Linked DNA regions of Drosophila melanogaster. The protein of the gene in region 2 interacts with the protein of the main gene of each other region in a pairwise test. Each region holds a gene or a part of one and is shown on either strand. Other genes may lie near its edges.

The links.
Region 1: the proteins of Mst84Db (region 2) and CG7017 interact in a two-hybrid assay, tested with the Drosophila melanogaster proteins (one large-scale study listed by BioGRID).
Region 3: the proteins of Mst84Db (region 2) and Pvf2 interact in a two-hybrid assay, tested with the Drosophila melanogaster proteins (one large-scale study listed by BioGRID).
Region 4: the proteins of Mst84Db (region 2) and tyf interact in a two-hybrid assay, tested with the Drosophila melanogaster proteins (one large-scale study listed by BioGRID).

The regions. Positions count from the first base shown.
Region 1 is NT_037436.4:20,208,172-20,216,454, forward strand, and holds CG7017 (uncharacterized protein), read right to left. Parts: upstream 3,952-8,283; 5' UTR 3,863-3,951; coding exon 3,853-3,862; intron 3,582-3,852; coding exon 2,512-3,581; 3' UTR 2,121-2,511; downstream 1-2,120. Other genes in the region: CG6996 (uncharacterized protein), read left to right, coding at 1-787.
Region 2 is NT_033777.3:7,362,902-7,369,845, reverse strand, and holds Mst84Db (Male-specific RNA 84Db), read left to right. Parts: upstream 1-4,218; 5' UTR 4,219-4,270; intron 4,271-4,323; 5' UTR 4,324-4,340; coding exon 4,341-4,565; 3' UTR 4,566-4,686; downstream 4,687-6,944. Other genes in the region: Mst84Da (Male-specific RNA 84Da), read right to left, coding at 3,667-3,819, 3,875-3,913; Mst84Dc (Male-specific RNA 84Dc), read left to right, coding at 5,317-5,484; Mst84Dd (Male-specific RNA 84Dd), read left to right, coding at 6,230-6,448.
Region 3 is NT_033779.5:7,080,063-7,089,179, forward strand, and holds the start of Pvf2 (PDGF- and VEGF-related factor 2), read right to left. Parts: upstream 4,574-9,117; 5' UTR 4,420-4,573; intron 3,667-4,419; 5' UTR 3,562-3,666; coding exon 3,124-3,561; intron 1-3,123.
Region 4 is NC_004354.4:4,113,054-4,122,031, reverse strand, and holds the start of tyf (twenty-four), read right to left. Parts: upstream 4,483-8,978; 5' UTR 4,137-4,482; intron 4,069-4,136; 5' UTR 3,753-4,068; intron 3,677-3,752; 5' UTR 3,615-3,676; coding exon 3,015-3,614; intron 2,319-3,014; exon of another isoform or gene 1,737-2,318; coding exon 1,608-1,736; exon of another isoform or gene 1,592-1,607; intron 1,531-1,591; coding exon 796-1,530; intron 579-795; coding exon 102-578; intron 1-101. Other genes in the region: Tip60 (Tat interactive protein 60kDa), read left to right, coding at 5,180-5,239, 5,307-5,433, 5,488-6,712, 6,818-7,030, 7,103-7,103; dgt4 (dim gamma-tubulin 4), read right to left, coding at 7,238-7,804; Nsun2 (NOP2-Sun domain family, member 2), read left to right, coding at 8,428-8,487, 8,565-8,978.

The DNA.
Region 1 (8,283 bases), on a different chromosome or scaffold from region 2:
TTATTACTATTGCAAGGATGGCAAGGGGACGCACGGAGTGTGCAACACTGGGATGAATTTCAATTCGGGAACGCAGGACTGCATCCGCGATTTTCCGTGCTCGAATAAAATGGACCCGGATAGCTATTGCAACATCTTGCCGGATGGGGTCTTCGTCAAGGACACGGACAACTGCAATGGCTATCAGTTGTGCTGGGATGGCCAGGTGATCAATGGAACCTGTCCGGGCACCTTCTACTTCAAGGCCTCCACGGCCCAGTGCGATTATCCGCAGAATGTGGAGTGTGACTTCGTCCCAGTGCCAGATATTAGCAAGAAGGGTGTATGTCCAGAGACGGGTGGATTTATATCGGATAACAAGACCTGCAATGGCTACTACTACTGCAAGGATTTGGGCAATGGAGAGTTCTCGCTGGAGCATGGCGTCTGCTCCGATGGAAGATTTTTCCTGGCCACCGATGGCGGAGCCTGTGTCCCGCGATCCAAGGTGAAATGCGGCTACGATCGATGCGTGGGCTTGGGCAATTCCACCATTCAGCTGGCCAACGAGTCGGATGATGGCTGCAGGGGCTACTCGATCTGCCAGGATGGCATCGTCATTGGCCAAGGAACTTGTCCGCAGGACGAGTACTTCGACGAAATAACCCAACGGTGCACCACCCAGGTCATATCATATACCGCCTGTCAGATATCGGAGGCAACCACCGGGTCCCAAGTTCCAAGTGGCACCACCACCACCACCAGCAGCACCATCACTAGCACCACCATTGCGGTCCCGGTGTCGTGAGCAGCTCCTCATAAGTATAAGTAGTGCTGTTATCAGGCCCAAGTCCCATACAAATTATAGATCAGCTCTTTGTTTAGATTTCGTGGAATTGATCACAATACAAACATCTGAATTTTCAAATGTATTTAGGTATAAAAAGATTATTTCGAAAAGCTTAGTTGTACGATTAAAAGTTGACTCATTTGTGAACCATCCGAGCCATAATATAATCTTATCCCGCCTGCCAGAAAACGTCGGCTGATGAATGGCACTATCAGCAATATTTTGGTCTCGTGAGCGACGTACGCAATCAGTTTTAATTAGACAGTTTGTTTTTTCGACGCCGATACAATAAATATAAGTGGTGTAATCAGGCGCAATAACGATTAAGTTACCAGATCACCTCTGGGCCAAGATTTCCTTGAATCGATTGCCGAGCAAGACACTCGGTAACGTGAAACCGTGATGTCATACTCAAGAACACCACTTGGAAATTTGGCGATGGGAAAGTACCAGGGAGGTAGCCATTGGATCCCATTCATGGCCCATACATGGGTGATATCACCGTTTTTAACAACTGCAATAGGAGATTTGAATGGAAAAGTACGAAGTTATCGTACTACAAAGTTGATTATTCAAACCACTTTATTCATTAGGCACCATATATGTACATGTACATATGTCTATGAGGTGTCATAACAAGATAACTTATATTATTGAGTTTTTCGGAATTTGTTATCGTTATTTGTTATGATCAATAAATACTAATACATTATAGCGAGGCTGCAAAGTTGCCCCGTTTGTCATTTGAATACTTGACCTTTCCTACATACAAATCAATCATCCGCCCTGTGGACTTGTATAACTTCCTTCTTAAAGTGGACATAATTGATTTCTATGGAGAACGAAAGCGCGTCGATGCATTTCATTTGCATTTCACACTCATACAATATTTGTGGACCTAATGGGTAACATCGACCCTAATAGTTGAATTTAATTAGTGATAGACAAAAACGACCCTTGGGCGTTGGATACTTCTTGCTCGCCTGATGGCCAACACGGAAATAAGCGATCGCGGCAGCTCCGAGTAGCGAATTCATTATCTGGACTATCTGGAATCGGTTTGAAATTCTCCGAACCCTCCACTGGGGTACAATTTTAATTAAAACTGATAATTTTTTGGGCACTGCAAGTGTCACGAAAACAGATTGCCAAATATGAATCGTTGTGTGGCGCAGTTTTGATATCAAAAGGGTTGCCAGAAGAATTTTATCACGCCAACTTCGTTTCGCTAATGAACATTTCCGCCAATGTAGTTCAAAAATCAGTCCAAAAAATCATAGTATTTCTCTAGCATTATTTATACCAATTCATATTTTATTGTTCAAGGTTAGGGTAACATCTTCTATAAAGAGGAAGCAGACGGTAAAATTCGAATGGAAAGGGAATAAAACTACAATAGAGCCAAATGCAATGGATAAACTATATATATATACATTTCAGGTTTCAATGGAGTAACACATTTATTGGACATTTTTCGAGAAGCTAATATTTGTAGACCCATTTCCATGGTAAAAAGTAAATGGATGAATGTCATAAAACTTAACACTTCCCACCACAAAGTACATGAATTCCTTTCAAGCAATGCATTTGACCTCCACCATGAATTGGATCGATTTATTGGATATTTAAATTGGATGCGATTTGGTAAGGATTGTGGTAAGGATGCGATCTTCTGGGACAGCCTACACGGAACATGCGATGTTGTGGTAGTTGGTCTGTGTGCATCCCTGGTTGCGCTCGTCGAAGTAGTAGCCCGTTGGGCACTGGCCCAGGCTGACGGTCACTCCGCCGGAGCAACGTCCATAGCTCTGGCAATCGCCGGCGACGTTTACGTAGGTGATGTTGGTGCCCACACACCTGTCCAGCTGGCAGCGTACGTTAAGTCTGTCGCGGCACGAGAGCTTCTCGAAGTCGAAGTACTGGCCAAGTGGACAGCTCAGGTGCTTGGGCTCCGTGTCGTGCTTGCCGGCGACGGGGCTGCCACAGATATAGTAGTGGGAGCAGGACTCGTCGTCGGCAAAGTAGCCAACGCGAGCGGATCCGGTGGCACTGTCCAGGCAGAAGGTGTTTTCCGGTTCCGGCAGGGCGGCACTCTCGTAGCAGGACACCTCAGCCACATCCACGCAGTAGCCGAGATTAGCATCGTAGGCACTGGCCACTGGACAGGCTCGGCTGTGCAAGACCTCGCTGACGCACTCGTAGTACTGGTCACAGTGGACGGGATCGGCCAGACGGGTGTTGTTCGGCAGGGATCGGCAGGCGGGACTGGTCTTCTTCGTCTGGCTGATGGGGCAACGGTACTGCTTTTCGTACACGCAAGACCTCGATACGGGATGGAAGATCAGCTCGTTGGGACAGTTGGCCTTGATCTGCTTGTGCGACTTGCACAAGATGTAGCCGCGACAATCGCTGCTGCTGGGATCCACGATGAAGGCGCCTTCCGTTTCGTTGGCGCACAGGTTCGTGGCCTTGTCCGCAATGCTGTCGGCATAGGGACACACCGCGGCGCTGGAGGATGCCAGGATGCAGCGGCCTAGCTCCTTGTTGTAGTTGAGTCCTGCGGCACAGCCGCCCTGCTCCAGCACGCTGTAGTTGCTGGCGCACCGCACCCAGTTGTCGCAGGTATTCGGTCGCAGGAAGCTTGTCTCCTGCGGCAGCAGGTCGCACATCTCGGCCACCGATAGGTATTCAAAGTCCTCGATCACGCCGCCCAGGGCGCTGGCCACAAACAGCAGCGACAGGACACCGCTAGCTGCAAGTAAAATCGAAAATCGTGGGAACATTGTGTCAGGAACAGGATGGCATATCCAGTGTGCTTTACCATTTATTAACCCCAAACATGTGAGTCAATTTTTAAATTTAAACTACGATAGCTGGTACGAAAATTACCCTTCTGCCAGAAAGCCCTATCAACTTAAAAACTTAATGTTTGAATTTAATTTATATGTACATTTTTAAAGAGCAATTCTTTCAAACGAAATCCATCACTGTCAATGTTCAGCTGGCGTCCCACTTTAGTTTACCTCTATTCATGTTTTATATCCTTTGGTTAACTTGTATCCTGGTTTCTCGAACGCCCCGCTGCGATCTTGGCGGCACTCACAACTCAAATGATACTGCACCTTCGGAGGCTGGAGCTCTTAAATATGCAAAGGCCATTCTGCTCGGTTTTGTTCGGCGAAAAACAATTTCCAAAATGCACACGCTATCTCAATCAGAACTCCAAGATAGCGCTGATTTTTCGTTCTTCGATTTTTGATTTACTGATGTACGATAGCGGGGCCGCATGTAAATTACACGGCAATAACATCGGAATTGCCTATTTCGCAGAAGAACAGACTCCTGTGGTGGCGGTGGTATCGCATCGGATTGATAAGGGAATTGCATATGTCACGCCAAGATCTCCAAGATCTCAGCGCCATTGACGGTTCTCGAACATCTGAGAAACGCTGGAATAGTCATCTACAGACCGAACTCCCAATCTCATCGAATATCTTAATTCGGAGTTCGGACCAATAAATGAATTGCTGAACGATTTCTGCGTCAACTGAGCTCTTCGTCATGTCTCTTTGAATATTATTATTATTTTTTTGTATCATTTTGTTACCTATAACTATGCTATATTATACGATACCATACTAGAATATACTATACTATACTTTAGCCGCCGTTTACAGAAGTTAATATTCTAATACAATTTCACGTGTCTCTTTTATTTTTGATCTGTCCTTTAGCTTGGTTCAACAGCGACTGACTGCCGCGCTCTCTGCAGAGTGGCGAGTCGATTAGTCGATAAGTTTCTCGATAATATTTGTATGTTAAGGATGGGTGTATGAGTGTATAAGCTTATGACTAGATTGGCTATGTATAATTAGGTATGTATGACTAAGAGTAAAGGAAGAGGGTAGAAGGAGCAGCCTACTACAACTCGGCCGTCCTGACTACTAGATCTCCCGATCGTAGGATTTTATAACAATTAACGTTTCTTAAAGCTAAGGGTCCTGTTTCTTATTTTATTCTTCTTAGTGGAGATACTTTTGAACGGTCTTAAACATTTTTTTGGTTTTCTTTTCTTCTTGTTTGTTTTCTTTGTTTTACAATTGCTTCTTAAATTATACTTTCGATTTCGTACAGAGTTTCTTAAATTATACTTTCTATTTTGTACAGAGTTTCTCAAATTATACTTTCTATTTTGTACAGAGTTTCTCAAATTATACTTTCTATTTTGTAGACTCTTAATTTTTCTTTGCCAGTGTTTTATATTCTGTATGCTCCATACACCCCGGTAAGGATTGCGAGAAATTTGAAATCCATCAACATCTTCCAGAAGGAAGCGATCATTTTTGAGAACTTTGCTTATGACATAGGGTCCTTTATGCTTTGGAATTAACTTCTTAGCTATGCCTGTTGTTGAGTCAAAATTTTTAACCATGACGTAGTCGCCTTTTGTGAACACTCCTGATCGTTTTCGTTTTTTGTCAACATATTCTTTATTGTATGCTTGTGCTATTTTCTGACTTGCCTCGCCTTTATTTCTAATACTTTCTAAATCTCTTTCTTCAATCGTTTCTCCAATTTCCTCAATTTTTTCTTTTAACTCATCCATAATTTGTCCTTTTTGTTGTAACCCAAATAACATTATGCTAGGATACTGTTTAATGCTGCGGTGTAGTGTATTGTTCAGGGTATATTCGACCTTTTCTAAGACTAAGTCCCAGTGTAGACCTTGATCAGGTTCAATTAACTTGCTAATCATTGGACCAAGACTTCGGTTTATACGTTCAACTTGACCGTTGGCTTGTGGCGATCCTGTTGCAATTTTTATGTGTTTAACATTGCATTCTTTCAAAAATGAGTCAAAATCGCCAGACGTGAAACATGCTCCTCTATCTGATATGATACACTTAGGCCTACTGTATGCTCTGAAGTAGTCATTTAACGATTGTATGACTTCTTTTGTGTTCGTAGTTTTTGTTGCGTATAGTCTGACAAACTTTGTGAATGCATCTACTATCACTAGAATATGTTTCTTCGGTCTAGCCAAGTCTACTGGACCATAATGGTCAATATGGATTATTTCAAAAGGTTTGTTTCCCTTAGGTATGTTGTGTAGAAATCCTTCTGTTTTTCCTGTTTTGGGACTGAATGAAATACATTTTAAACAGTTGCTGATATGTGTGCTACACTTCTGTTTTAAATTTGGAAACCAATAGTTTTTCATTATAGCTTCTATCATTTTGTCTCTTCCTACGTGTCCAAGTTCGTTGTGATATTTGTATAACACTTGTTCTTCCATTTCTATCGGAACGTAGAACAGCAATCTATTTTCATTTGTCTTTTTGTAAACTATACCATTTCTCATCTCATACAATTTATTTTCTGTGTTTTCTAACAATTGCCTGATTTCTTTTAATTTTGTATCTTTCCCTTGACATATAACTAGATTATCTTCGAAACTGTTTGTTTGTATTACCATAATATTTGTACACCTACTCAGTGCGTCAACATGTTGCATGCGGCTACCTGCCCTATGCACAATTTCAAAATCATAACCTTGGAATTCTAAAGCCCACCTGGCTATCCTAGGGTTTAGCTCTTTTTTGCTTAGGGTCAAAATTAATGAGTTGCAGTCGGTGACTATTTTAAATGTCCTCCAATGAAGATAAACTCTAAATCTACGTAACGAATAAACAATGGCTAAAGTTTCTAACTCGAAACTGTGGTATTTTGATTCAATATCTGTTGTCCGTTTTGAAAAGAATGAAACTGGGTGCCATTTCTGGTCCTCCTTCTTTTGCATAAGTACAGCACCGAATCCAGAAGAACTTGCATCACAATGCAATTCTGTTTCGTGTTTATGATTGTATATAGCTAAGACCGGTGACTGTATTAATTTATCTTTTAACATATTAAAACAAATCATTTCTTCACTACCAAATTTGAACGGTTTATCTTTTTTTAGAATGTCATGCAATGGTTTAGCTAGTCTAGAAAAATCTTTTATAAACCGTCGAAAATATGAGCATAATCCCAAAAAACTTTGTACTGTATGAACATTATTAGGTATTGGGAAATTTTTTATTGCCTCGATTCCTTTGTCATTGGGCATTATGCCGTCTTTATTTATTATGAACCCAAGATATTTTATACTCGATTGCATAAACTCACATTTGTCTATTCTTAATTCAAGTTTATTTTCAACTAATCTTTTAAAAATTTCTTTCAACGTTTCTAAGTGTTCGTTTATATTTTCGGTTGCCAATAGAATGTCGTCCATATATACTACTACTTTGTTTTCTCTAATCATATCAGCAAAAATTTTGTTAACAAATCTTTGGAACACAGACGGGGCGTTTTTGAGGCCAAATGGCATTCGCAGCCACTCGTATTGGCCTAATGGTGTAACGAAAGAGGTGTATTTTATTGATTCTTTTTTAACATGCACGTGGAAAAAACCGTTTTTAAGATCGAGTTTGGTGAAAACAGTTTTCTCATTCATTCTATCTAACAAGTCATCTATAAGAGGTAGAGGATAGTTGTCTTTCATTGTCATTTTATTAAGTTTTCTAAAGTCGACGCACATACGTAAGTCTCCAGTTTTCTTTTTCACTAAAACAATAGGCGATGCATATTCCGAGTCGCTTGGTCGTATAAATCCGTTTTCCAAATATTCGTCTAATAGTTTTTGTAACCTGTCTTTTTCTGTGTATGAAAGCCTCCTAGGAGAACAGCTAAACGGTTTCGGGTTTTTCAAACACAATTGTATTTCACTTCTAACTGTCGGTTCATTTGGCCTTTTTGCATTTATATAAAAATTTCTAAACAACCTATCGAATTCTAGTTGTAACCTATTGCTAACATTTTCTCCTATTTTGTATTCTAACTCACTTTCAGTTACATGACATATTCTTAGTACTTCCTTATCAAAGTTGTGATTTAATTGTTCGTAAACGTTTTTATCTTTTGGCAATTTAAAACTAACGATTTCTTTTGAAGTGTTAACAATTTCATCTTCTGATAATTTTGATTTACTGACATTCTTTTGTTGATTAACTATTTCATCTCTTAACGATATTGGACCAGTTTCTTTATGCTGTTGATTAACGATTTTATTTTCTAACGATTTCGGACTAATAGTTGCATTTTTAAACGATTTTGGACTAACAATTTCATTCTCTAACGATTTGGGGCTAACAATTTCATTTTCTAACGATTGTGAACTAACAATTTCATTCTCTAACGATTTTGGACTAACAATTTCATTTTCTAAAGATTTCTCAGGACTATCATTTTCAGTAAACATTGATATTTTGTTTATTTCCATGGGTTTTCTCAACGCAATCATTCCCAAGGTGTACGGGTCTAAATTTAAATTGCATGCAGTTAAAAAATCTCTGCCGAGAATAACATTATACCTCATAGACTGGTCGCAAACAATGATTAAACGAAAATAT
Region 2 (6,944 bases):
TTGGCAGGCAACTTAATTCATTTGATGCATTATTTAAATTGCAGTACCCGCACAAATCACACAAAGCTCTCAACACATTTTATTCGTTGGTGTAAGTCAAAAACCTCTAAGCGATTGGATTCAAGGTTACGTATAATGGTTTATTTCAAAACGATTTTAGGGTATAAATAAATGTTAAAGCTTTAAAGTTTTAAAAAATAAATATACAGGACTTTAAGACGTTGGACGTCTTGCACACAATATATGGAATGCAAACTTTTAAAATATTTTATAATTTCAAGCAGTATTTGAATTGTTATTTAATAACTCTTAACTTGAGTGTAGTGAAATTGCTTTTATTTTATTTTACATATTCAAAATGTTAATCGCAGTGTTGGGACCCATAAAAATGTCAGTTAAATACAATAATTCAATGCAAGTTCTTGTTTATATAAATCCAACTTTCTTTGCGTTCGCATCGGTCGCGAAATGGAACTACACACCAAAATATTTATTTTAATTATAATAAATCCAAATATTTTCATATGTGAATCAAAGCAAATGAAGCTTTTGCTAACAATTCCAGACGACTATTGTGAAACATATTGTGGTGGCATCTGTAATGATACAGTCGCTTCAAAGACTTGCGACAGAGAAGCTTATGATTATATTGCCACCAATGAATACCATTTAATTATGAGAGACGGACATTTAGAGGTTAACTGGAAAATTCCCGATCCAAACATTTTCATCATAAGTCCGATCAGCAAAGAAAACCGTTTGAAATTGAATGAGCTAATTGTATCCGATACAAGTTACCCAATACGTGCAGTGGATTATCTTCGGCAACTTGGTGTGGAGACAGTAACACGTTTCGAAAATCAAATAAATTCATTTAAAGTAATTGAAAGAGATGTCCATTATATCAATGGACCTAAGTCTCTTAAAATAATTATTCAAAGTAACCTTTACCTCAATGAAATAATCGAATATATAAATAAGACAACGGATAATGTGAATGAAATTATTATCAACGCATATAAAACGGTTGAAAACCAGCAAATTGCGCTAGACAACCTTATTTTTAATGGGAAGTCGCATTTAAGATCACTTACATTTATTGGATTTCAAATTGAAAACTTATCCACGAAACCATTTGCTCAGTTTATTAATCTCAAAAGGATGGTTCTTACCAATTGCACGGTTCGGAATTTGACATTTTTAAGGTTTGTAAAATTGATTAAAATTATAGCTTCCTATACATTGCTCTCTCATTAAGTTGTTTGCAATTCAGTATAAATAATTAATTTTCTATTACTAACTCTATTTAGAACTCTTCAAAAGAGCCTTGAACATTTGGAGCTGGATATCGACAACGAGGTGGATTTAAAATACTTTACAAACTTTTCCAGTCTCAAATTTATGAAGGTTAGGAACTACATTCCCAACAAGAACTTCACAGCTTTAATATGCACACACAAAAATTGTAATTTTATCCGTGGAATCAATGGGTTAGAATGCCCTAAACTTTGCCAATGTCTCTATATAATTGATGACTTGGAATTAAACATAGACTGCAGCAATCTGGGTCTTTTGCAAATTCCGCCCCTACCAATTCCAAGTTATGGCGGTGTGAAGTTGAATTTTTCCAATAATTCTCTCTCTCAGTTGCCAACTATGACTTTACCTGGATATAAATTGGTTAAAAGACTTGATGTTTCGCGGAATAGGTTAACCAACTTAAGTATCAATCACCTTCCAGCGAAACTGGACTATCTTGATGTAAGCTTCAACGAAATAATTAATATGGGAAACGATGTAATCAAATACTTAAGAACTGTCCCCATCTTTAAGCAAACAGGCAATCAATGGACTATTCATTGTGATGACAAGCCGTTATTAAATTTCTTTAGACATCTCAAATTGATAATACGGATGAAAAGTGCTGAAATGAAACCTATGTTCTTGCACTCGTTAACCGAATTACCTAAGGGGTTTTTGAAGTTTTTGGGAAAGCACTTCATTTGGCTAGGTGTGAGAAAACAAGAATACTATTTGATCAATGAGGAACAGTTGTTGCAAAGTATGCATCGCAAACTAAACAACCTTAATACAATTATGAGCATCTATAAGTATATGGAATGGCTTCACCGAAAACTAATATTCGTCAATCGGGAGTATGATCTATTTTATATTCGTCAAATGGCAGCCCCCTGTCCTCATAAGTGCGAGTGTTGTTATAGCCGCGATTCACTTATTTTAAAAATAGACTGCAGGAATAAATTTGTATATAACTTTCCCGATATCGTTGCTAGAAATAGTCGTCTTATGTGAAAACAAAATATGTCTAGTCCTATGGAACTGCATTTATCTAAAAATAATATATCAAACATAACCATCGCAATGCTACCAAAGGAACTAAGGTTTCTTGATCTACGTTTCAATAATCTCGTTACCCTGGATGACAAAGTCCTGAGTTACCTTAAGAAAAATTCAATTAAAACTAAACTTTCTGGGAATCCCTGGAATTGCGACTGTAAGTCGAGATCAGTCCTTTCCATTTTGAGAGATCACGAACCCCTTGAGTATGACGTCACGTTGAAACGTTGCAATATATCTCCAACGGATTGTCCAGATGTTTGTGTCTGCTGCTTGGATAACTTGACATGGCCATCATTTATTGTCGATTGCAGAGGAGAAGGACTTCTACAGATGCCTTCACTTTCAAGCAGGGTTACCTATGTGGACCTAAGGAATAACAACCTTACGGCCCTGTCACAGAAGAATCGTTCTTCTATCGAGAACAGATCGTTAAAGCTGCATTTGCTTGACAATCCCTGGTCTTGTTCTTGCAACGATATAGAAAAGATAAATTTCATGAAGAGTGTGTCTTCAAGTATAGTAGACTTCACTGAGATAAAGTGCAGTAATGGTGAGAAGCTAGTCTCGATTAATCAGCATATTGTGTGTCCATCTGACCTCTTTTATTATTTGGCACTCGCGATCTCCCTAGTGGCCACGATCATTGCCTTAAACTTTTTGATATGGTTCAGACAACCGGTCCTGGTCTGGTTCTATGAGCACGGTGTGTGTCTCAGTCTGTCAGCCAAGCGGGAACTTGATAAGGACAAAAGGTTCGATGCCTTTCTGGCGTTTACCCATAAGGACGAGGCTCTGCTGGAGGAGTTCGTGGATAGGCTGGAACGTGGTAGGCCCAGGTTCCAACTCTGCTTCTACCTGCGAGACTGGCTGGCGGGCGAATCTATTCCCGATTGCATTGGTCAATCTATAAAGGACTCGCGGCGCATTATTGTCCTCATGACAGAGAACTTTATGAATTCCACTTGGGGTCGCCTCGAGTTCCGACTGGCCCTCCACGCCACCTCACGCGATCGGTGCAAGCGTCTGATAGTGGTGCTCTATCCAAACGTGAAGAACTTCGACAGTCTGGATAGCGAGCTAAGGACCTACATGGCATTTAACACCTATCTGGAGAGAAGCCATCCGAACTTTTGGAACAAGCTGATTTACTCGATGCCGCTACTACCAAGCTACGTTGACTAGGACATTACATTATTAATTTCAATAAGAAACAAAAATATATAATTTGTTGTCTCCCACACAGTTTATTTTTTGAGATTTACATAGTTCCCGGAAGTATTCCGACAGGTTTCCGGGTCAACTGGTTTAGCAGCAAGGACCGCAACCGCAAAAACTGCTGGTGCCGCCGCAGCAAGGTCCACATCCTCCGCAAGGACCACAGCAGGGGCCACACCCACCACAGCAGGGGCCACATCCACCACAGGGTCCGCATCCGCCGCAGGGGCCACAGCAGGGGCCCTGATAAATCATATTAAAAGTATTCACTCGACTTACGAGACCGATAAATACATACCCCAACCAAAACGTAATTCGGGTTGACGTACATGTACATGATTTTGTTTCTTAAAAGATATTTCCCAACCGGAATCGAAAGGAACCGAAAATTTAGGTGTTAACTATTGAAGGTGGAACGGAGAACTGACTGAATGTGATCCAAATTAGCCGAAGCTTCATTTGACAGCAGTCATGAGAATTTCAAGGCTAATATGATCCGACAAATTATATTCATTATTATTATTATATTCTGGTATCCCAAAACCCATAATCTAGTTAGCTATGGATATTTTCGACAGTTGTCAAATTCATATACCAACTTGTGAGTCAGGTTTCCATCATTCTTATTTTGGTTCTCGGCCTGTAATCATCGAAATATTTTTTCGTCCTAAGTTATTTCTTTGTTAGGTTCAAAGTGAGTATTTCTCAAAGTGTAAGCATGCGAAGTTTTAACAAAATTTTTCTTAGAACTTTACGGAACCATCATGTGTTGCGGACCCCTTGGATTCTGCGGACCCTGTAGCCCGTGCGGCGGTCCTTGCGGACCTTGCGGACCCTGTGGTCCTTGCGGTTCCTGCTGTAGTCCTTGTGGATCTTGCTGTGCGCCTTGCGGCCCTTGCGGTCCTTGCGGTCCTTGCTGCGGGGGCTGTGGTCCATGCGGGCCTTGTGGACCTTGCTGTGGACCTTGTAGGCCATATTGCGGGTGCTGAACAACAACCACAACATGTAAAATATCTTTTTCCTGTGAACCACAAAGTGGAACTTAGGACTGAATGCGGATAAACTCTTCTTAGCTCGCGGGCCTAGTCAATAAAATAAGAATTTCAAAATACCTTTTCCGATGGTTTTTCTCTTCTAAATGGTGCAACCTTTGTCTTAGCTATGGATACCAAATGCGTGACAATAATAATTTATGTAATATAATTGCGAAAATTAAAATTGTCAATTCTTGGTGGATTGCGATCGTTAGAGGGGGCGGAGGAACATCCTACGTTCATATCGACTAGGCTTGTGATCCAGCTCAAGAATAAATAACCTTTTCTTCTATTCACTATAGCATAGCTATTACTCTACGAGTGGCGGGTATAAAACCTGCAACCGTGAATTTAAACCTCATTCAATAATAGTATTTGTCTGCAAACGGACAAATGTCCGATAACAATAATTCTATAACAATAATAACTATTTTTAACCATCAACCGCTGTACATAAACATAATTCGAATTCATAGTAGGCTATGGAAATCGTTCTTGACCTGTCAGACCCACCTAACCTTGTAAGTTCGGAAAATATATCATTCTCATCTCGACCCTTGTGCTGCTCGCATCAAAATTTTGTTGTTTTGTCCCAAATACTTGTTTTTTTTTTTTGGCTTCTAAAGACCGTTGGTAAAAATGTTTATTGTAAAGTTAAAATAGTATACATATTTATTTCGTTTATTTTAGACTTCTCGAATTAATCATGTGCTGTGGACCTTGTGGATCGTGCTGCGGATATTACTGCTGTGGTCCCTGCTGTGGACCTTGTGGACCCCGATGTGGGCCGTGCGGATCCTGCTGTGGACCCTGTGGACCCTGTGGACCTTGTTGCGGACCATTTGGCAGTTGTTGCGGTGGCTGTTGGTGCTAAATGCTCGCAATTGGCAGCCGAATCGATTTGTGAAACCATACCACAATCCCACCATGGTTAAACTAACACCTGAAAGTTAAAAGCCACAAATATATATATATGTATCTTAATGCAGATCCATGTTATCATTGGGATAGTTCACCATTGCTCTTACTCGGCGTTACTCGTTGACATAATAGGAATGCGTTTCGTAATATGTATGTGGGTGTAGGTTTCTTGATCAGGAACACTAGCCGGATACTAAGCGAGCAGATTGTATTGCGCTGCGAGCACAAGTTGCTATATGGAAATGGTTGAGACGTTCTTGGTAATACCATTTTATTTTACACGAATGACGTCTCAAGGTGATTGATTCTGCCTTCCGACGAGCTTCACTAGGACGTTCTTTGTTGTTCCCATCTGGATCAGTTGTACTGCTTGCTACGGCAGGACATTTTCTTAAGCACGTTATTGTAAAATTCACTAAAGAACAAAATTAAATTCCTTTTAGGGCATTGATATAAAATTTTTATTAATTTTGCATTTGTTTATTTTAAATCTAGAAGGCTTTGAATCTATATTCTACTTTCCTGTGCAAGTTCTATGTAAGCAAACATCAGTTTTCATCTTTCCCTTAACCCAAGAACATCAAAATTTGAGCTCTTTTCCAAGCTTTTTAGGTTCAGCACTTTGTACGTAGTTTTTTATTTAAGAAAATTGTTGGTATAATAGCTTTTCTTTTAGTTCTCAGAAATTAAAAAAAAACATGGGCTGTGCACCGGGCGGACCTTGCTGCGGACCCTGTGGACCGTGTTGCGGACCCTGTTGTGGACCCTGTTGTGGACCCTGTTGTGGACCCTGTTGTGGACCTTGCGGGCCCTGCTGTGGCCCCTGTGGACCTCGTTGTGGCCCTTGCGGACCCTGTGGACCGTGCTGTGGCACTATGGAAAAACGAAATGGCCTTCAGCGGTGCTGTCCTTTTTAGCTGTGATTTCCCGAATAAGCAACCAAACTGTGTCCAAAAAAAGATTTCATTAGTCTATTGTGACAAATAAAGGGGAACTATGAAAACTATCAAATTAATGGATCTTAGCAGGGAGCCAATGTAATCATTGCAATTTCATTCATTCACACTCCGTACAAGAACTATAAAGATTACTGCTTTTCCTCTGCTACCTTTGCTTCACAAGCCGATGACGAATGACAAGCCAATCCAAAAAGGCAGTAGCTGAAGAGAGAAGCAATCTCCATAGGACAATCACCATAGGACAATAGACCAGGCTAACACTGAAGCCTGCGGCAATACATTCACACACGTAATAGTTGCATTGGGCTTAAAAGGAGCAGTTGGTTTATGCCAACATGCTCAGGTAATTGGGACGATGCAGTTGGAAAATAAAAAGTAATCCTGCCCTTGCAGCAATTAAATTAGCCAAATAGGGGATGTTAATTAGTGTCAAGTACCTTGAAGTAAATGGTGC
Region 3 (9,117 bases), on a different chromosome or scaffold from region 2:
TTAGATCACTGACATACGAGTACTTTGTAGACCGCCCGAAAGCTGTTTGCTATTATGTCATAAGCCGATTTGACCGTCATTAGTTTCTTTTTTTTTCCAACTCTTTGAAAAGATTGCTAATAAATCAGAAATCTTGCCGACATTTACATTATCCCCAAAATTCGTATTGCTGCGTGGCAACTGATTTCATCGTTCAACTCTATGTGGCAATAGACGGAGTCAACACAGATTTGCTGTGGATAGAAATTTTATAGAATTTTTATGGGGCGCAGAGAACATTGTTTATTTCTTGATGCGCCTTCGAAGTGAGAGTGAAATGATTTTATTTTCGAAGTTCACTGCGAATGTACTAATCTCAGAATTGACTATAAATGATATTATAAATTGTGTTAAATGTCAACCGAAATAACTAATTGCTATAATTAATTGCTGTTGATTATTTGTAAATTAGTTCTTATCACACAGTAAGTTCAAGAGCAAATAGTAGCGAATTCTTGAGAATTCTCACACATTCTTTGCCAGCCGCAGATAACCTCCTTTTATTCTAAGCCCGTGTGTTGTTTGTTGATAAAGGCATTTTCTAGTCATTCAACTATGGCGATTGTACGATTGTGCGTCGTGTGCTAGCGACCAGATCAAGTTATATTAATCGCACATTTGCCTATAAATACGAGTGCAGATTTACATTTCATTAACCTTGCTGCTGCTGGAGCAACTAAGTTCTTGATGATTAATCGATTGAGTCGATGCGATTTCACATTCTGACTGTTTGCAATGCTAGAATTGTTGCTGACCCATTTGTGTGGCTTATATTAACATTTTCATTCGAGCAGGGTTATTTTTACCCGGTGCCATAAGTAACATATTTTGGCCAACATATAGGGCCCGTTCGCGGTTCTTAATCTCAGTGCAGTTATGCACACGGAATGCGTTGGCAAATAAACTGGCAAAGGTAAACACATAGGGAGAACTCAAATGGCATGTGGGTAGTTCGAGCTCAGTGGCAAGTACAGCGATTTTCCAGGGCGAAAAGGCGGACGGAAAGTGGGTGTGGTCGGGGGACTTTGTACCAAGTACAAAGTTCCGACGAGCAGATATTAAATTCCTCTTTTCAGAGGTCAAAGGATGCGGTCGGAAATGTGAGCAGGGATATCAGGGATATCAAGGTACAATCATGAACACAGACCATAAGCTATTTATGCCGCCTGAGTGCATATGCCACAAGCTCCCCCACCCCCCATCCCCCCCTCACATAACGATTACCCATTTTCTCCATATCTCCTTATCGCACCTTTGCATGCGATACACCCAGAAAAATACGATATTGGTTGTGTCGGTGGCATCATTTGTTCTCATGAGAAGAAACCATCTTGCAATCTAAGACTCTTGATCTGAGTATGCTGAGCATGAGTCGATCTTGGCTAGATTTTGAGTTCAAAAATTTTCAAATCGAGATTGAATTTTTCTATGCGTGTAGTTGCATTCAAATGTGCAAGCGATAAGAGTGAAAATCCAAACCAGACTTTGCGACGGGGAATAAAAAGCGACAGCATTGTGCTGATAAGCGATTAATCGCAGAATCTAAAAATGATTGTCGTCAGCTTTGGGGAAATCCGAAGCTATGTATATATTCAAAACTTGCGCAATATTGTGGATTGTCGATTCTTGCGAATTTCACGCAAGTAAAAATAAAAAGAAAACTATTTTTTTTTTTCAAGCCAACGATATAATAAACCAAAAAATTTAAGAGATCTTAATTTTATAAAGTTCATTGGAAATGCTCATTTTGCGAACATTAATCAGCCCCTGTATCAGTTCCAAGATTTTGCAAAAGCATTGTTTTTGGAACTCAGAATTATGCGCTTTATCATTTCGACATACATACATCAATCGAGTTACTTTTTGGCAAAACCCTTCTTCTACAAAATCGATTTTTCTCAGAAATCTGTATTAATTGGTAATAAAACTCATATGAGTATTGAATGATGTTCCATCTCAATTACGAGTAATCAATGTAAATCAGTGAAATTGTTCCTAAACAGAGTAAATCCCACATATTTAGACACACGATTGATTTCCCCTAAAGGGCGGCGGCAGCCGTTGCAAGTTGTCAAGTCAATTAGGCCAATTAACGAGGGACCACCATAACGGAAAGTCATGTCTTTAGCATCCCAAAAACCCTTTGCAACCCGTTTCATTGCCATCAACCAGCTGTCGGCCATGGAGACGAAAAAAAAAATTGCCATAAAAAATGAAACAGCAGAGCGACAGGTTCTGCCCCTTTCTGATCGGCACAATTACAGGCCGGAAAGTGAAACCGAAAGCGATTGTTGGGCAGAGATCTCTCTTCGGGATCGGGATCTGGATCTGGATGTGAGCATAATGTTGGCTCCCGTTTGCACACCGCCAAATTGGCTTGTTAACCAAATTGGTAGCTCCTACCTGCCGCAACACGTTTCATAATTGCCGCCGTTGTGTAACTCATCTCGCCGAACTGGCGAACTGGCAAGTCACATGGGTGGCATCTGCGATCCTCGATCCGCAATGGGTAAGTGGAGCGCCAGGGAGATCGGAGATCGGAACGGAGCGATTGCCAGTCCCAGGGTTAGTCACCCGTCGCTTTACGGGCACTGTGGGGTTCAAGGTGAGCCATCTCGTTGCGATCCGATTCTGATTACCATTCTAATGCGCAACAAGCAGTTGCAGCTACTGCAGATACTTGACAAACTCATCGAGAGTCGACCAAAGAAATCAGAAAAAAAAATGGCTGTGACTCATTTCTGGAAAAAATTGTGGCTGTTGTTATTTTCCGTTCTTCTTTTAGCTTATAAAGCGATGCTAAATTTCGATTTCCCTTAATTTGTTAGATTATTCAACAAGAGATTTCCCTTAATTTGTTAGATTATTCAACAAGAGATACTCTATTCTACTTCTTTTAGTTTTTACCTTCATATATGTAAGTTTCTTAACGTGTCATTAAAAAAAAGAAAATAAATATTTGACCGTCTCGATAATGTCATGATGAGAAAATTGTATGGGGCGAGTAAGCAGGACTTAACGTTTATGGTTCGCCTGAAGTGTTTGCCCTCGTGTGTGTCCCCAGATTAGAGATACAGTACTCACCCCATCGACGGCCGCATCGGAGCTGAGATGATTGTCGTCGCCCTGCCCCCAGTGAACGCCACTGAGACTGCGGCCCTGAAGAATTACTTGCTGGGGGGCCTGATCACGTGGCACGCGCCGGCGGATCAATCGGATGAGATACGACCTGTCCCGCTGGACCGCTCGATCCTCAAAGTACGGCTCTAAGTCAGAGGACTCTTCGTCCTCGTCCGCGGTATGCAACTCGTTTGGGGGGAGAACGTAGCGAGCGAGAGGACGATTGGTTTGTGGATGGGAGGTGGTCATGGTCATGGGCAAGGTCGAATTCCGCACGTCGAAGTAATTGCTATTTATGTCAGTTGGAAAACTGGAATAAGCGTGTGTCGTCTTCGAAAATGTAATGACGATGAACGCCAGCACGAGATTGCATATTACGAGATTCATATTTAAATATTGCATGAAATATTTTTGTATTTATTTAGTTTTGTTCTAGGTTTTTTTTTAATTAATTGATTAGCACTCCGATCGCGATAATTCTATATTGGCATCCTCATATTCCGCTTTCTGCAAATAAGAATAATAAATACGCATATATTAGGCACTTGGCTTCTTATTAGTTTTATTTATTCTCGTAGAGTTTTTATGTAAGTTTTAAATAGCTGTACTTTTTTCGTTTTATTCACTTTATTTTCCACTTCTATAGTTGCTCATTTGCATTGTATTTTTTCTGCTCCGTTAATTGCACTTTGCGAGAACTTTTTTTTTTTTTTAATTTTGTTTTAATTTTATGCTCCAACTTGCCAGAGAATTTTTCGAGTCTAACAAGTTGCTAAATATTTTTGGCAGCTGAATGTTTGTATTTTGGCACACGCCTTTGCTTTTAACGCGCAGCTGCGTAGAACCGGCGTTTTCTCTGATGCAAAAAATATTGAAATAAAAAATAAAACAACTTGTTACTCAATCGTTTTTTATTTACACTTCTCTTTGTGGCTGTCCGATTTTCAAACTGTTAGACATTGCCAGAAAGACAATAAACATTTTATAGCCGCTGCTCAAAAACATAAAACAAGCACATCACTTGCAATAGGCCTTTTATTTGTTTTGTTCAATAATTTTGTACACTCAGTTGTTAATTAAAAGCCGGCTTTTAACTAACTTTAAATTACAACTAACTTCCATTACAACTTTTTACGCGAAGTTGTGAAATGCAATTATTGTAAATTTGTGCTTCATCAACTTTGTCAATTCATTTTTTTTTTCGATGAGCCTATAATTTTTCATTTAAAAATATTAACAAAGGATTCACTTGTTGCTCACTTTTTAACAGATTATTTTATAACTCCTTGCACTTATTTTTTCATCAAGTTCTTAATTTTTATAAGGACGCCGTTTTAGTTTCAAAGGATTAAGCTTGAGTGCTGAATTTCACGGAGCATGCGACCGATCGCTTCGAGTTCCAACGTACAACTGTTCGGCATTGCCGTTTCACAGAAGCGATCCACAAAAAGCTTGCGCTCTGCTCGCCTTTCTCTCTCACAGAGATTGGGAGAGGAATCACTTTTGAGATTGCCATAGTGACGTCATCGCGACATCTACTTATCTACTGATCTACTTATGATCTGAATACTTATCGTATTTATACCAATTAAAGTAGTTGCATACATTACATACCTGTAAATTTATATTATGGTCCGTTGCCCGGTTGTTCGTCCTTGTTTCCCTAAATGTTGGTGTGGAGAAATTTCCAATAGAGTCATTTAAATATGTTATGAGCAATTATATTGTAGTACCACTTACTTCTCTTAGCTGAGTAACTAAGGGATATCAATTGTTTGCTTTAGGACGCTAATCATGATTTTATGTTAATGGTTATGTTAATGTTAATGGTAACAGAGTTTTCAATTCCAATGTGTAATTAACATACTATATTATTTTTCCAGCCTATCTAGGTACACTTTATAAATAGAAGTGATTAGCCACTTGGCTGTGGTGGCGAACATAAATGCCTCATTTGCAGGCAAATAAGGGGAATGTCTATTGATAAGACAGACTTTAAGCTGGAGTTTTTTCGATTTCGTAACGATGTGATTCAGCTGGTCATTCAGATCTTGCTCCGCCTGTCAACACGTTTGCCGTTGAGGACTGGAATCCTCGCGGATTTGTCTTATTTATGGCCACTGGCTGGTTCTGCTAATAGCCCATAAATCTTATTAATCATATACATATGTCAAGTGAGCGTGGCAATCAAGCAGATCTGCATCCACGGACTGAGTTTTCATTCGGAAATTCTGAGTCGGGAATTCTTTTTTGAGACTGGGGGCATTTCTACTCCATTCTCAGTTCTCTGGTTTTGATGATGGACAACAGCTTTCAGCGCTACCGTCAATCAGTCGGGCTGACAAAAACTTTTTACCCCTTTTTCCGATAAAACATCAAGCCGGACCACAAAACAAACACTTGAATGCCCTTTCGTTTTGGGCATATCAGTCTGTCTAATTAAGGCAGAAAATATGTTGGATTGAAGTGCAAACTTAAGCATTGAAACAAGGTGTAAGTTAAGGTACATGAAACGAATTCCAAACAATGTTCAATAACTAAAAACTATAAGTAATGATAACATTATAAAGATCACTGAATGATCGGTTAGGATTTTGTTAGGGTATTCTGAGATCGTCATCATAGGCATGCATTCCTTGTTCACACATTGTTGTGCAACACTCGAATGCTCCCGCCCTGCCACAAGTGGGCGTGGTTCGTGGGCGTAGCTAACTTCGCACCAGGCCAATAATCTTTAATAGGTCCGAAGAATTTTTTTTTTTTTTTTGGTTTTGTAGCTGTCTACTCTCTTTTCACTCAACACCAAGCGTAAATATGCATGCGACCGTCTATGCCGCAGTCCTCTGCACCCACTTCCCCACTACGCCGCCCCGAAATGTTTGGCCCCCCACAACATTCCCGACTTTCGAGTTTTCTTGTAGACACCCACGATCGGGAATTTGCATATGTGTCGCCTGATCTGAATTTTTAGTTCGTCACCTCCGTCTGTGCAAACAAATTTTGATAAATTTTCATATCGCTGTTTTCTACTTCCTGTAGTCTTACTAGAGATCAAACCCATCAGTTTGATATTAATTGTATATATATGGTTATTGTATAAGTTAAAACTAAAAAGCTGCTATATTCTAACAAAGAAATCTGCTAATCGCGTACGTCGAGCTTATCTACATCCTGTCTTTGTCTGTATTTCTGATGATATCACTAAATAATGGCCCCACAAATAGACGTACGATTTTTCGTTCAATATCATACATAATAGGCACTATAAAACCATGCAGCCGAGAATTCTCTAACAACTTAAGAATATGCGGTGATTCACTAATGACTCAACCAAACTTCATTCTGAATTCGAGCTCTAAATACCGCTCTTGAAAGTGCCAGATACTATAATATCTGGATCATCTGGCGAGGGCGCTGAGAAAAGCGATCGCTTACTTATCACTCAGACCCCCATTTTTCCCCCTTTCAAGTTCCAGTTTTCAATTTGTTGTTTGTAGTTTTCAGTTTTCAGTCTGCGGTTTTGTTTTCCTTCAATGGAGCTACAGAATTGACAATTAGTGAAAGTGAAAAATGTGTCTGGTCTGTCTTTGTGGCTGTTGCTTGTCTAGACCAAATATCTGTAAATGCCTTTTATGGCTCCATCGAGATCTTTCGCCCTGGGACGTGTGAATATTTGGGAAAGCTAATCCCCATGATTTGCACTTTGCTCGCTGCCCTTGGAAAAATTACAGAATATTTGCTTGACGTCATACATAAATGGGTATTTCTTTGTATGACAATCCAGCAAGATATTAGATCTTTGTGAACAATTGACTTGAAGATACATATGTACTTCCAAATCTATGTGCACTTATATAAAGTTTCAGTTTGAAATATAGATAGAATTCTCCAAGTGATTCGCCCAAAGGCAGTATATAAAATAGCTTGTCTCGCCAGCATTCTTTTATGCCAATAGCACCTACATAATTCTTTAATTCTTCTTTTTACTCCGTAGAGCATGTTTCAGATAAAGTGGCAAAACTTCCCATTCCCATAAACAATAAACAAATTATCAGAGCTCCAGAAGAGCCGCGATATTTATGCTCTACGACAGAGCTTAATAGATTGTGGCCACGACAAATTGCCTGGTTGCCTGTTTGCTGTTTTATGCGGCTCAAAAGGTGGCGATAAAGAAGGCCAATTCGCAGCCGTTTCGGCCAGCTGGCTGTTGACTTGGTTGGCCTACTGAAATCGGGAAACTGTGCCAGCAAATTTGCAAGTAAATCAAACGCAGCGTTCAAATAATTTGGCAGAGAATCGAAACGAAAAACGAGACATGACGGCGGCAGGCAGCAACCTAAAAATAAAGGCCATGACGAAGTCGATGAGACATGTGTACCCGCTATGTGCGATATATATATATATATATATATATAGACATATACATACATATGTATGTAGCGCGAAGGGGGCGTGACATCGCGCCACAAGTTGCAAAGCTATTTTTTATAGCGTCTGGCAATTGGCGATGATGCAAGGCGGCGGCCCATCCCCTTTGTGGTTTATTTTTTACGACAACATTATTTGCCGGCCGTTCTTGCGGCCACTTTTTATGCCATTTCTGCGGCTTTCTGTGCGTGGGCTCTCCATTGATATTAATTGCTCGGCTTTCTTTTGGCAGCCAGCGCAAGTGTTTATTTGGCTTATGTCTTCCGGCCAAAAAGAAAGTATATCGCACAGTGGCTAGAACTAATTCTTGATTGCTTTGGGCTGCGATTTTAGTTGCGAAATTAAGAGATGCAGGCTTTTCAGTTTCAAATTTTGAATATTAACATCGATCAATTCAAGCTACTTTATACTATAATTATATTTCAAATTGTCAACAGTTCAACATAGCATGACTCATGTTGCATCTTTTCATGTCTTGAAACCTCCAAGTCCACTCTTATATGGTTTTATATTGCGAATTTTAATACTCTTCACACTATTATAGGGCACCCAAAGTGCTATCTGTAGATGGAATCGCAAACCACATAAACTACATATTTTCTGCCACATTTTGCGGGCACTTTGGTGTCTTTTGGTTTTGCGGCATATGCTGGGTATATAAAACATCCCGAACTGTGCTAATGTTTTTATTTTCTCATATGCGTGTATATATATATATATATATTTCCTTTTCTTCGGGGGCGCCAAGCCAAAACCAATTTGGCGACAGTTGCTCGACGTCAGTTTTACCATTTTCCTCGCCCTGGCAATTTTCCCAACAGCATTTTCTTTTGGGGGAGGCAACAAGTGTCTGCATTTTGTGTATATTTTATGCCTCCTTTATTCTTGGCTGCTTTGCATTTGATGATTAATGCCAAGGGAATTTGCAGTTTTCAATTGGGTCAATTCGGATTTTTCCCCCTTTACAATACCCTTTACTCGGACAGTGAAAGGGGATACAAGATTGATTAAAAAGTATGTAACAGATAGGAGTAAGCGCTTCCGACCACATAAACTATATATATGCTTGATCAGGATCTTTCCGAATGTCTGTCTGTCCAGATATCAGAAACTATAAAAGGCAGAAAGTTGAGAAAGCTTGAACACAAAAGTCAACAGTCCAGAAATATCTTTAAAATTTATTTGTCACACTGCCACTGGCTGTAATGGGTATCTTATAGTCGAGAAACTCGCCTATAGAGTTATCTTTTGGTTTCGCTTTCTATTTCTCAGCTGGTCAGCTGCAAGTTCAAAGTTCTCTAGTGATCAAATTGCAAATACATCACCAAATGCACAAAGATTGTTTTCTAGATTACGGACTCAAAGAGATCTCAAGCTACACTTTCTTTATGATGTTTTCTGTATTTTCCGTAATTTTTTGAAAATCTTCTAATGCATCCTAAATGTATACTCATAAAAATCGAATGAAGAAATGAGATAGCAAACGTTTAAGTATTTTGTTCACTATTTATATGTAATTTTCGTTTAGTT
Region 4 (8,978 bases), on a different chromosome or scaffold from region 2:
TGTTGTAAACATTAGAATTCTCGGAGTTTGTATTAGCAGTCGAAAGAAGAGTCACAAGCTGCACTTATAGTTCTGTAATTATAACCCTTATGTTTACTCACAGTAGTCGTCTTGCCACCCATTGGCGCAGCTGCCACTGCCGCTGCGGCGGGGACCATGCGTCCAATCTTCGCAGGTCGCAGATCGCTAGACAGTGCGTCAGAGGAGGCACCGCAGTTGCTACCGCCAGACACGGCCGAGGAGGAGGTAGAGGGCTTGCTGCCCTCCACGGCAGCTGGCGAACCTGCACCGCCGCCGTAAACTGAGGAGCACGCCGTGTAGTTGTCGTTGAGCGACACGTAGCCGGCCTCTACCTTGCGCTTCTCCTCCTCCAGGCCGAGACCAAATTGTCCGGTGAGGGCGGCCAGGTATTGTGCCTGCTGCTGCAGCTTCCTCCTGGCAGACAGCTCCAGGACGGAAAAATGCAACCGGTCGTCGATTAGGAACTTTTTGCCGGCACCGGTGTACCTGGCCTCCAATGGCGTGTCGTTTAGGGCGTCAATCAGAAACTTCATCGAGGGGTTCTGAGGATCCAATTGCTGTACATGAAATTGAAAGCGGGGGAATTAGAAATGTATGTACACAGCCCCATCTGCGCGGATCCCAAAATCACGAGATTAATCACAGAGTGTAGGTCGATGCAAGAAGTTTGTCTCTTACAAACTCGTTCGTTAGTCGATTTAGATAGAAATCAATCTACTATGTGAAAGATTATCTAATCGACAGTAAATGGCTCCAATACTTGGCATCGCTTACCTCCAACATGTTGTCGTCTTGGTCGCCGCTGGCACCGACAACGGCGCTGGCACCAACACCCGTCGCATCGTCCATGTCCAAGTCGAACTGATTGTTTGCCTCCGTATCGCGCGATTGAGTTATCAGGCTGCTGCAACTGCCGGTGCTGCTGCGGTGGTGGTGCTTGTTACCGACCGACCCCGAAAACGAGCCACCTGCAGCTTCTGTCGAAGGCTGAGCCTGTTGCTTATTCTGCTTGGCTTCCATGGCAGACGATGCCGGCTCAAAGTTAACACTGCTGGGCAGGCTGCCTCCTTCGCGCTGCCGGCCCGAGACGTTTAAGTTCTTGATCTTTTTGGATGCGGATGCGGAGGAGGTGGCGTTTTGGTTGTGCTGCTGTTGCTGCTGCTGCTGCCGGCGATTGGAGCGACCACTCAGCTGGTAATCACAGTTGAAACGTTGGGTTGCTGCCGCTGTCGCTGCTGCTGCCGCCGCCGCCGAGGTTGTGGCCAGTTCGCTGCGGTGCGCCGCCTCAACGAGATCCTGCAGGGAGCCGCCCTGCTTGTGCCGCTGGCCGGGATCCGTTGACCGGTGATTGGTGGAATTATAGCTGCTGTTGTGCCCTGCACTGCTGCTGCTCCCGCCGCTCGAGCCTGTTGCTGCACTGGACGTTAGTGCGGATGGGTTGATTGTGAGGCAGGATTTGATGGCACGATAAGAGATCTCTTCGTCGTACTCAGCCTTTTTGAGCATTTGCTGCAGGCGTAAAAGACGTGAAGCAGAAATATTTATACACACATATATATGTTGCACATACATGAGCCAAAACTTACCAGAAATCGCTCGCTCTTGTTCTTCCTGTCGCCAGGATTTCGATACCAGTAGGCCTCTTCGAGAAGTTTCTTCAATGATGCGTCGTCCAGATCATTAAAATCGCTATCTTCCCAGGTATCGTATTTTGTCTGCAAAAGCGTCGAAGAACAATATTTGGCAATTAGTTTTGCAATTTTTCGGGTCATCAACACGAACACATATGCGTGTAAAACAATAATCGCTGCGACTTAACCTAAAAAAAAAAAAACAAAAGAATTCGGAGCTCCACTTATTCCAAACACATGCCCTTCTGAGTTCCTTATGCGAACTGATGAAGTACCGACCGCAGAGCAATAGAAGTATTAAATGGCACACGGTTCCAGTAAGTAAACGCTCTACATACGCACACACATGTGTACTATATGGTGTTGCACACGAACACAAGAAAACAGAAAAAAAAAAAAAAAACAATAACTGAAATAATAACGGGAATAGGCGAGAAGTTTTCGTGGTTAATGCCGCGGATGTCACCAATGCTTTTATAAGATAAACAAACGCTTTGCGGTTTTATCCGTTCCTTCTGCCCGATTCGGGGTCTTGATTTCAATAATTATCGAAGGCGCTGGTCAAAAAACCGACTGCGATCAGAAATTGAAGTTCCTGTGTGGCGATTACTTGATGGGACCAAATGTAACGGCACTATTTCGAAAGCCACAATCCCAGTCAGTCAGAACGAGATAACAGTATGCTTGGTCTATTTCTACATCATTTTCGAATTCTTTGCCATTAACTTCGTAAACGGTACTTTGGCTTCTATTCGCATACATATATGTATGTATGTGAGTATGTATTCATTAGGGGGATGCAATTTGACTGTCAATATTTATTTTTTTTTTAATAAAATTCGGTTTTCGATAAAACAGTGTTTGTGAGTGAGTAATCGGCTCACTTAAAGTTTTTTCCAAAGGTCATGTTTTAAGGGGATTTCGGCATTTTCATTTTCGACAACTTTAATGGACCGCAAGCGTAAGAATCTATTTTAGTTTATAGCTTAGTGTGCAAATAAACAATATTTATATCTAATTTATGTATACCTTGGTTTTGGTGGTAACGTAAAGATCGGACAACTTGCTGTCCAATACTGGAATTCCACCCAAAATCGAAATTAGTTTCAAATTTTACGTTTACTTAGTTGTTTCTCAACTTAGTCGCCCTGGTAGAGCTCTATTCAAGCCTGGCCATGCATAAGATATGGAGTCCAAACACCATAGAGCTTTGGAGCCTCCAGAACGTACACAAATGTGAAATTTTGCGAGTAACAAACATAACTATACCTTTTTCTTAATAAAACAATATCTTAACTCGGTTTCTGCTTAACATGCACTATATTTCCACCTTAAGATGCAACTCAGCCAGAGCGCACTTACCTTTTTCTTCTTCTGTCGCTTGCCGACATTCTGATCGTCCTGGGTCTTGCCCTTGGCAGTGGCTCCGTACTGGAGTACCCTGCGGTTTGGTCGCGACAGTTCAGCGCTGGGCGAATCCTTTAGCATGGCAAAGACCTGCGAGAAGGACGTATCTCCTGCTGCTGCTTCTGCTGCGGATCCTTTGGCAGCGTCTGCCGTGGCTGCGTGGTTACCAGAGCTATGGCTATTACTAGGGGATGATGACTTCTTGGGGTCATTGCCTCTGCTGCTACTGCCGCTGGTGGCTACATGGTTGGCAGCCACTGGTGCCGCTCCTTGGCTGTCCTCGTCTTTGGCCCCCTGGTTCCTACAGGCCTCGTCAAGCTGCGCGTCTGCCTTCGCCACATGGTCTGACATCATGGTCATAAGCTGCTCCTGTGGGAACGGCGTCGGCGTTGTTTTGGTGACGGTGGTCGTCGTGGTGCTCTCGCTCATCGTGCCAGCGGCAATCGAGACGATGGGCGTGTCCGGTATGATCGTTGGCAGTTTGGCAGCTGCTCCACCAGATGCCACACGATCCGCCGGTGTGTCCGATGATGACGGCGTTTGTTCATTGTTCATCTTCTTTCGTTTGGTGGCATGCAACGAAGGAGAAAAACAAATGCCATTCGAATTCCTCGAATCTGTTAGGGCGTGTGAGAAGAGGGGAATGTTTGTTTTAGTAAACGGGTATATCTCGCATTCCCATTAACTGCTTACAAACTGTTTCTTCTCTTCGCGATGTTTCTAGGTAGCCCAGCTGCCCAGCCGCCGTGTGGTTGCCACCGCGACTGCAAGTGCTCTGCAGGCTGTTCCGCCGATTCCTAACGATTCCTCTCGACTTCCAGACGGTTTGAGGCACAGGGGAGCCCACCTATTGCGCATCAGTTTGGACTCCTGCTGCACTTGACAGGCCTGTCGTCAGTAGCTCTCCTCCGGCTCAAACCTTTGCTCGCGGCATTTACGTAGGTTCCTGGGCACGGGGATGCGGATTGCTCGCAAACAGACCGGAATACGGAAATGTGTGCGCACGGATCTGCAATTGATTGGGAAATGGGGATGAAGTTGAGACTAAAACTGAAACTGAGACATTGGACCACTGACTGGGTGTTTTGCAGCATTTGTTGTTGTTCTGGTCATGCGGACGAGCGACAAGGGGCGGTGGGTGGTAGCAGGTGCGTCTGTTTAGTCTTTGGCGACCCCTTGCGGCCCACTGACTTCGAATTTCTTTAAAAAGCACTGGTCTCTTTCCATATTCATTTTTTTTATTTTTTTTTTTTTTTGGCTAAAAAGCAGTGTTGCTAACTACGCTGCGTGCCAGGGTTGACAAATGCTGTTTGTTGTTTGTAGGGGCAAGCCGTTGAGATTGCTAAATCGGCGTTTGCTCTAGGCTTGCATCTTACTAATCAACACGAGATTGCCTGCCCGTTTTGCAACTAATTAGTGGGATATGCCCATCGAGTTGGCAGCCCTGCGGCTGTTGTCAGTGGCAACACTATCGCAAAACACGTCATTTTGACACAGCTTTTTCACCAATTTCCCGCTCAGCTCGTCAGCATTGGGGCACTGCGGCACAGTTGCCCAGCAGTTGTGGTCACAATTACCCAGTAACTGAAGTTTTCCGCGGATCACAGTAGTCATTTATTGATAAATACGCCAGTCGATGACAGCTGTATAACTTTCTGCGCACTCACACGAGCGCACACGAATGTACGCACCCACACACACGCACACAAATTTACGCCTGTGTACATTTCTCTGACCTTCTCAGCGTTTTTATTTTTTGGTTTGGCAACTGAAAAGAAGGGAGCACATAACTGCGCACTCAAGTTCTAGCAACTGCAATTGAGTCGAACGGTTGTGCTTAATATGTTACAGTTGTTTGTAAGCGGGCGAAATTGTTTAATTGCACAGTAGGCACATGAGAAAAAATACCGAACCCGAATTGAAAAACTCTCTGGAATTGTTGTTGTGTTGTGCAGCACTTTGAAAAGGCGACGCGACGCTGCGCAGCACTGCCCATGTCATCAACATTTTTAAACCGCTGATTCACTGTGGCGGTAATCGATTGGTCGATAGTTATTTACGTTTCGCTATCTGGCAATACTGCTGTTTTAGGAAAAAAAAAACGCGTAAAATATAAACAAATGAAAATTAACCACAAATATGAGTTCGACGACGATGTGGCCTCCATATGCGAGTCAACGGTGGGTTCCGCTACGCCTTGGCGTGTTTTGGGTGTTCATTCTAATGGTTTTAACCGCAAACTTGCAGGCCGCCCTAACCGAGGGATGTCGTTTACCCGTCAGGATGCACAAAACGGACGACTGGCCACTAGCGGAGATTGTGAGCATCAAGGAGTTGGATGGGCGCCGGCAGTTTTACGTGCACTATGTGGACTGTGAGTACCAAGTCGTCCAGTGGGAGCATATTTAGTATAACTGCCAATCCGCAGTCAACAAGCGCTTGGACGAGTGGGTCAACGAGGAGGATCTGTACACGCGAAAGGTGCAATTTCCGCGGAGAGACGGCTCACAAACAGGCACCAGCACTGGAGTGACCACGCCACAGCGCCACCATTCCCTAGCGGGCAGCGTTTCTCGGCCTACATCACCGCAACACCCTGGTTCCGGGGCTCTGGCAGCCATCCCCCAGACTCCTACTGGTGCATCAGGCAGTGTTCCTCCCCCTGCTGGCATTCCAAACTCTGTGGCTCCACCCGGAACACCAAGCAGTGGGGGAGAGCTTGTGAATGGCAACAATCTGGCCGCAGCCCTTCAGAAACGCATCAATCGCAAGCGAAAAAACCACGGAGGCTCGGCCCATGGACACCACAGTCTGACCAGTCAACAGCAGCAGTCACATCCGCATCCTACAACTCCGCAGACACCCACGGCTACGCCCGTGCATGTGACCGGCGACGGTTTAATAAGCGGAGCGGCCAATGATGATGGTGATGGATCGCAGGATGGCAAGACGCCCACGCCGAGGCAATCAGGCAGCATGGTTACGCACCAGGACGACGTGGTCACCCGCATGAAGAACGTGGAGATGATCGAGCTGGGCAGGCATCGCATTAAGCCCTGGTATTTCTCACCCTATCCGCAAGAGCTGTGTCAAATGCCCTGCATCTACATCTGCGAGTTCTGCCTGAAGTACAGGAAGAGCAGGAAGTGCCTGGAGAGGCACCTGTCCAAGTGCAATCTTAGGCATCCACCGGGAAACGAGATCTATCGCAAACATACAATTTCCTTCTTTGAAATCGATGGACGCAAAAACAAGGTGTATGCCCAGAACTTGTGCCTGCTTGCCAAACTCTTTCTCGACCACAAGACACTCTACTATGATACCGATCCGTTTCTCTTCTACGTAATGACAGAGTTCGACTCGCGCGGCTTCCACATAGTAGGGTACTTCTCCAAGGAGAAGGAGAGCACAGAGGACTACAACGTGGCCTGCATTCTCACAATGCCTCCGTATCAGCGCAAGGGCTACGGCAAGCTGCTCATTGAGTTCAGCTACGAGTTGTCCAAGTTCGAGGGCAAGACGGGATCGCCGGAGAAACCATTGTCTGATCTGGGTTTGCTGTCCTATCGATCGTACTGGGCGCAAACCATACTGGAGATCTTTATCAGCCAAAACCCGAGCACGGACGGCGAAAAGCCCACTATAACTATAAAGTATGGCTAGTTCTAAGCTTAAAGTAATACAATTTTCAATCCACAGAGATTGTGCTTCATTGCCGAAACATAGATTAATCATGCTCCCAAAATTTTTCTTCACAGCGACATCTGCGAATGCACATCCATCAAAAAAGAGGACGTGATCTCAACGCTGCAGAACCTGAACCTGATCAACTACTACAAGGGCCAGTACATCGTGTGCATCAACCGGGTTATCATCGAGCAACACCGGCGAGCAATGGACAAGCGCAAGATCCGCATCGACTCGAAATGCCTGCACTGGACACCCAAAGACTGGTCCAAGCGCTCCAAATGGTAATCTCCTCATCTTCTCCGTATAAATAACTGAGTTTAAACAGCTTTGAATCCGTTTTTTTTTGTTTTTAGATTTCCGCTACCAATATTCTTCATCGGATGATCCTGGCTTCGTTGTAGCTTGTAGTTTTCATTTACAGTTTCCGTTTTTAATGTTATAAACTAGTTTATATCATACAATATTATATATACTTTTGAGACGACCGGCTAGTTGTTTGTTTCCCGCGGTGGGAGAAGATCCTCCACAAGGCGGTCCATTGCCTGTATCATGCCCATCTCCATACCATTCTCCAATCCATCGACGGCGGTACGCAAACTTCTTAGAGCTTCTTGGTTCTGGGCGAACTCCCGTTGTTGCCGGCATAGATTTAGGCGCGGTTTGTGGGTGGTGTTCAGATGTTCCAGGCACTGCTTCACATCGTTGGAGTCCAGAATGGCGGGACGCAGATCACTGCCCAGTTTGGATCGCAAACTAGCGATATCCTTGGCCGCCTGGTCGACTTGATTCACATCAGATACACGATGGGCATCCACGGCCGCCTGCAGGGCTCCGCACTTCAGGAGCCTCGCCAGCCGCCCAAAGTCCCGCTGATACTCACACTTGGCGTCCAGCCAAATGCGTACTTGCTCCTCCACCTGGCGCTTTACATTGCGGCTGTCTTCCTGAAAACGGCGCATCGCCTCCAGGTGCAGCAGGTATTGGATGTCGTCCATGGTGCCCTCAGTTGTCAATGATGGCGGTGTGGTCGTGGTGGGAGTGGGTGGAGTTTCCATAGTGGCTTACAAAAACTTCTTAGTTTTTAAAGTGGGAAATTCGGATTCGATTGCCGACGCTATCGCTTTCGCAGCTGCTATCGGTAGCATTTGAAGTCGGCTAACGGAGATTTTTGTAACGATAGGCGCGTAGCTATGTTCGAGTCAAATTTGGCTATTAATAACTATATAAAAAAAAAATGAAAATAATTCGAAAATGTAAATAACAACAAGATATGTAGGTTTCCTTACATAAACTAACAGGTTTTTAAAGTTTCTAGAAAACTGAAATAAGTTGTTTGATTTTGCTTACCGATAGTTGGGAAACCAGCTCTTATTGATTTTGGGGCTAAAAATGTAAGCCATGCAAATGAAGTTAACGTTTAAAAACAAGTCAATTCCTTGCAGCACGGAAACCAAGTACTGTAAAAAGTAATTCCCTTTCAATTCAATTTCACTTCTTTAGCAGCATATTTCACCTTCCCTTCCAAGCACCAAATGTCCGGCGACTCTCGCGCGACAGCGTTGCCAGTTAGGCGACGAACACGTTTTAACTATTCGTTTCGTTTAGAAAACACACAACGCTTGCCTAATTTTTTTTAAACATATTCAGTGGACTGATAACTTGGTATTGATATTGACAAATGGGTCGAAACCAGAAGCAAAATTTTTTCGCGGCTCGCAAACGTCAAAAGCGGGAGAATGTGAGTCACCTCAATTTGAAAGGAGAAACATTCCACGTTTTTGGATTTTATTCTTAAATATATTTTTTATCTTAAAGGGTCCCAAGCGCACCGATCGTCAGGCCCAGCCGTATGAGGAGATCAAAAGGGATAATGCCTTCTTCATCAAGTACTACCAACTGCAGAAGATCTGCGCCACCGATGAGGAGTGGACGCAGTTCCTTGCTTCCATCAGGGACAATCTGCCCACTACTTTCCGTGTGACAGGATTCAAGGACGAGGCCAAAGCCCTGCTATCCATTATTGAGACGCAGCTATTCACCGAGTATGTGAGGGCGGTGGCCGAGCTGCACCAGAAGGCGCCCGAGGATGTGGAACGTCCGCTGTGCCTGCCGTGGTATCCAAACGGACTGGCCTACCAGCTGCACCTTACCCGCAAGGACATTCGACGCTCGGAGCCGCTCTACCGGCTGCACAACTTCCTAATTGTGGAGACCACGGCGGGCGGCATC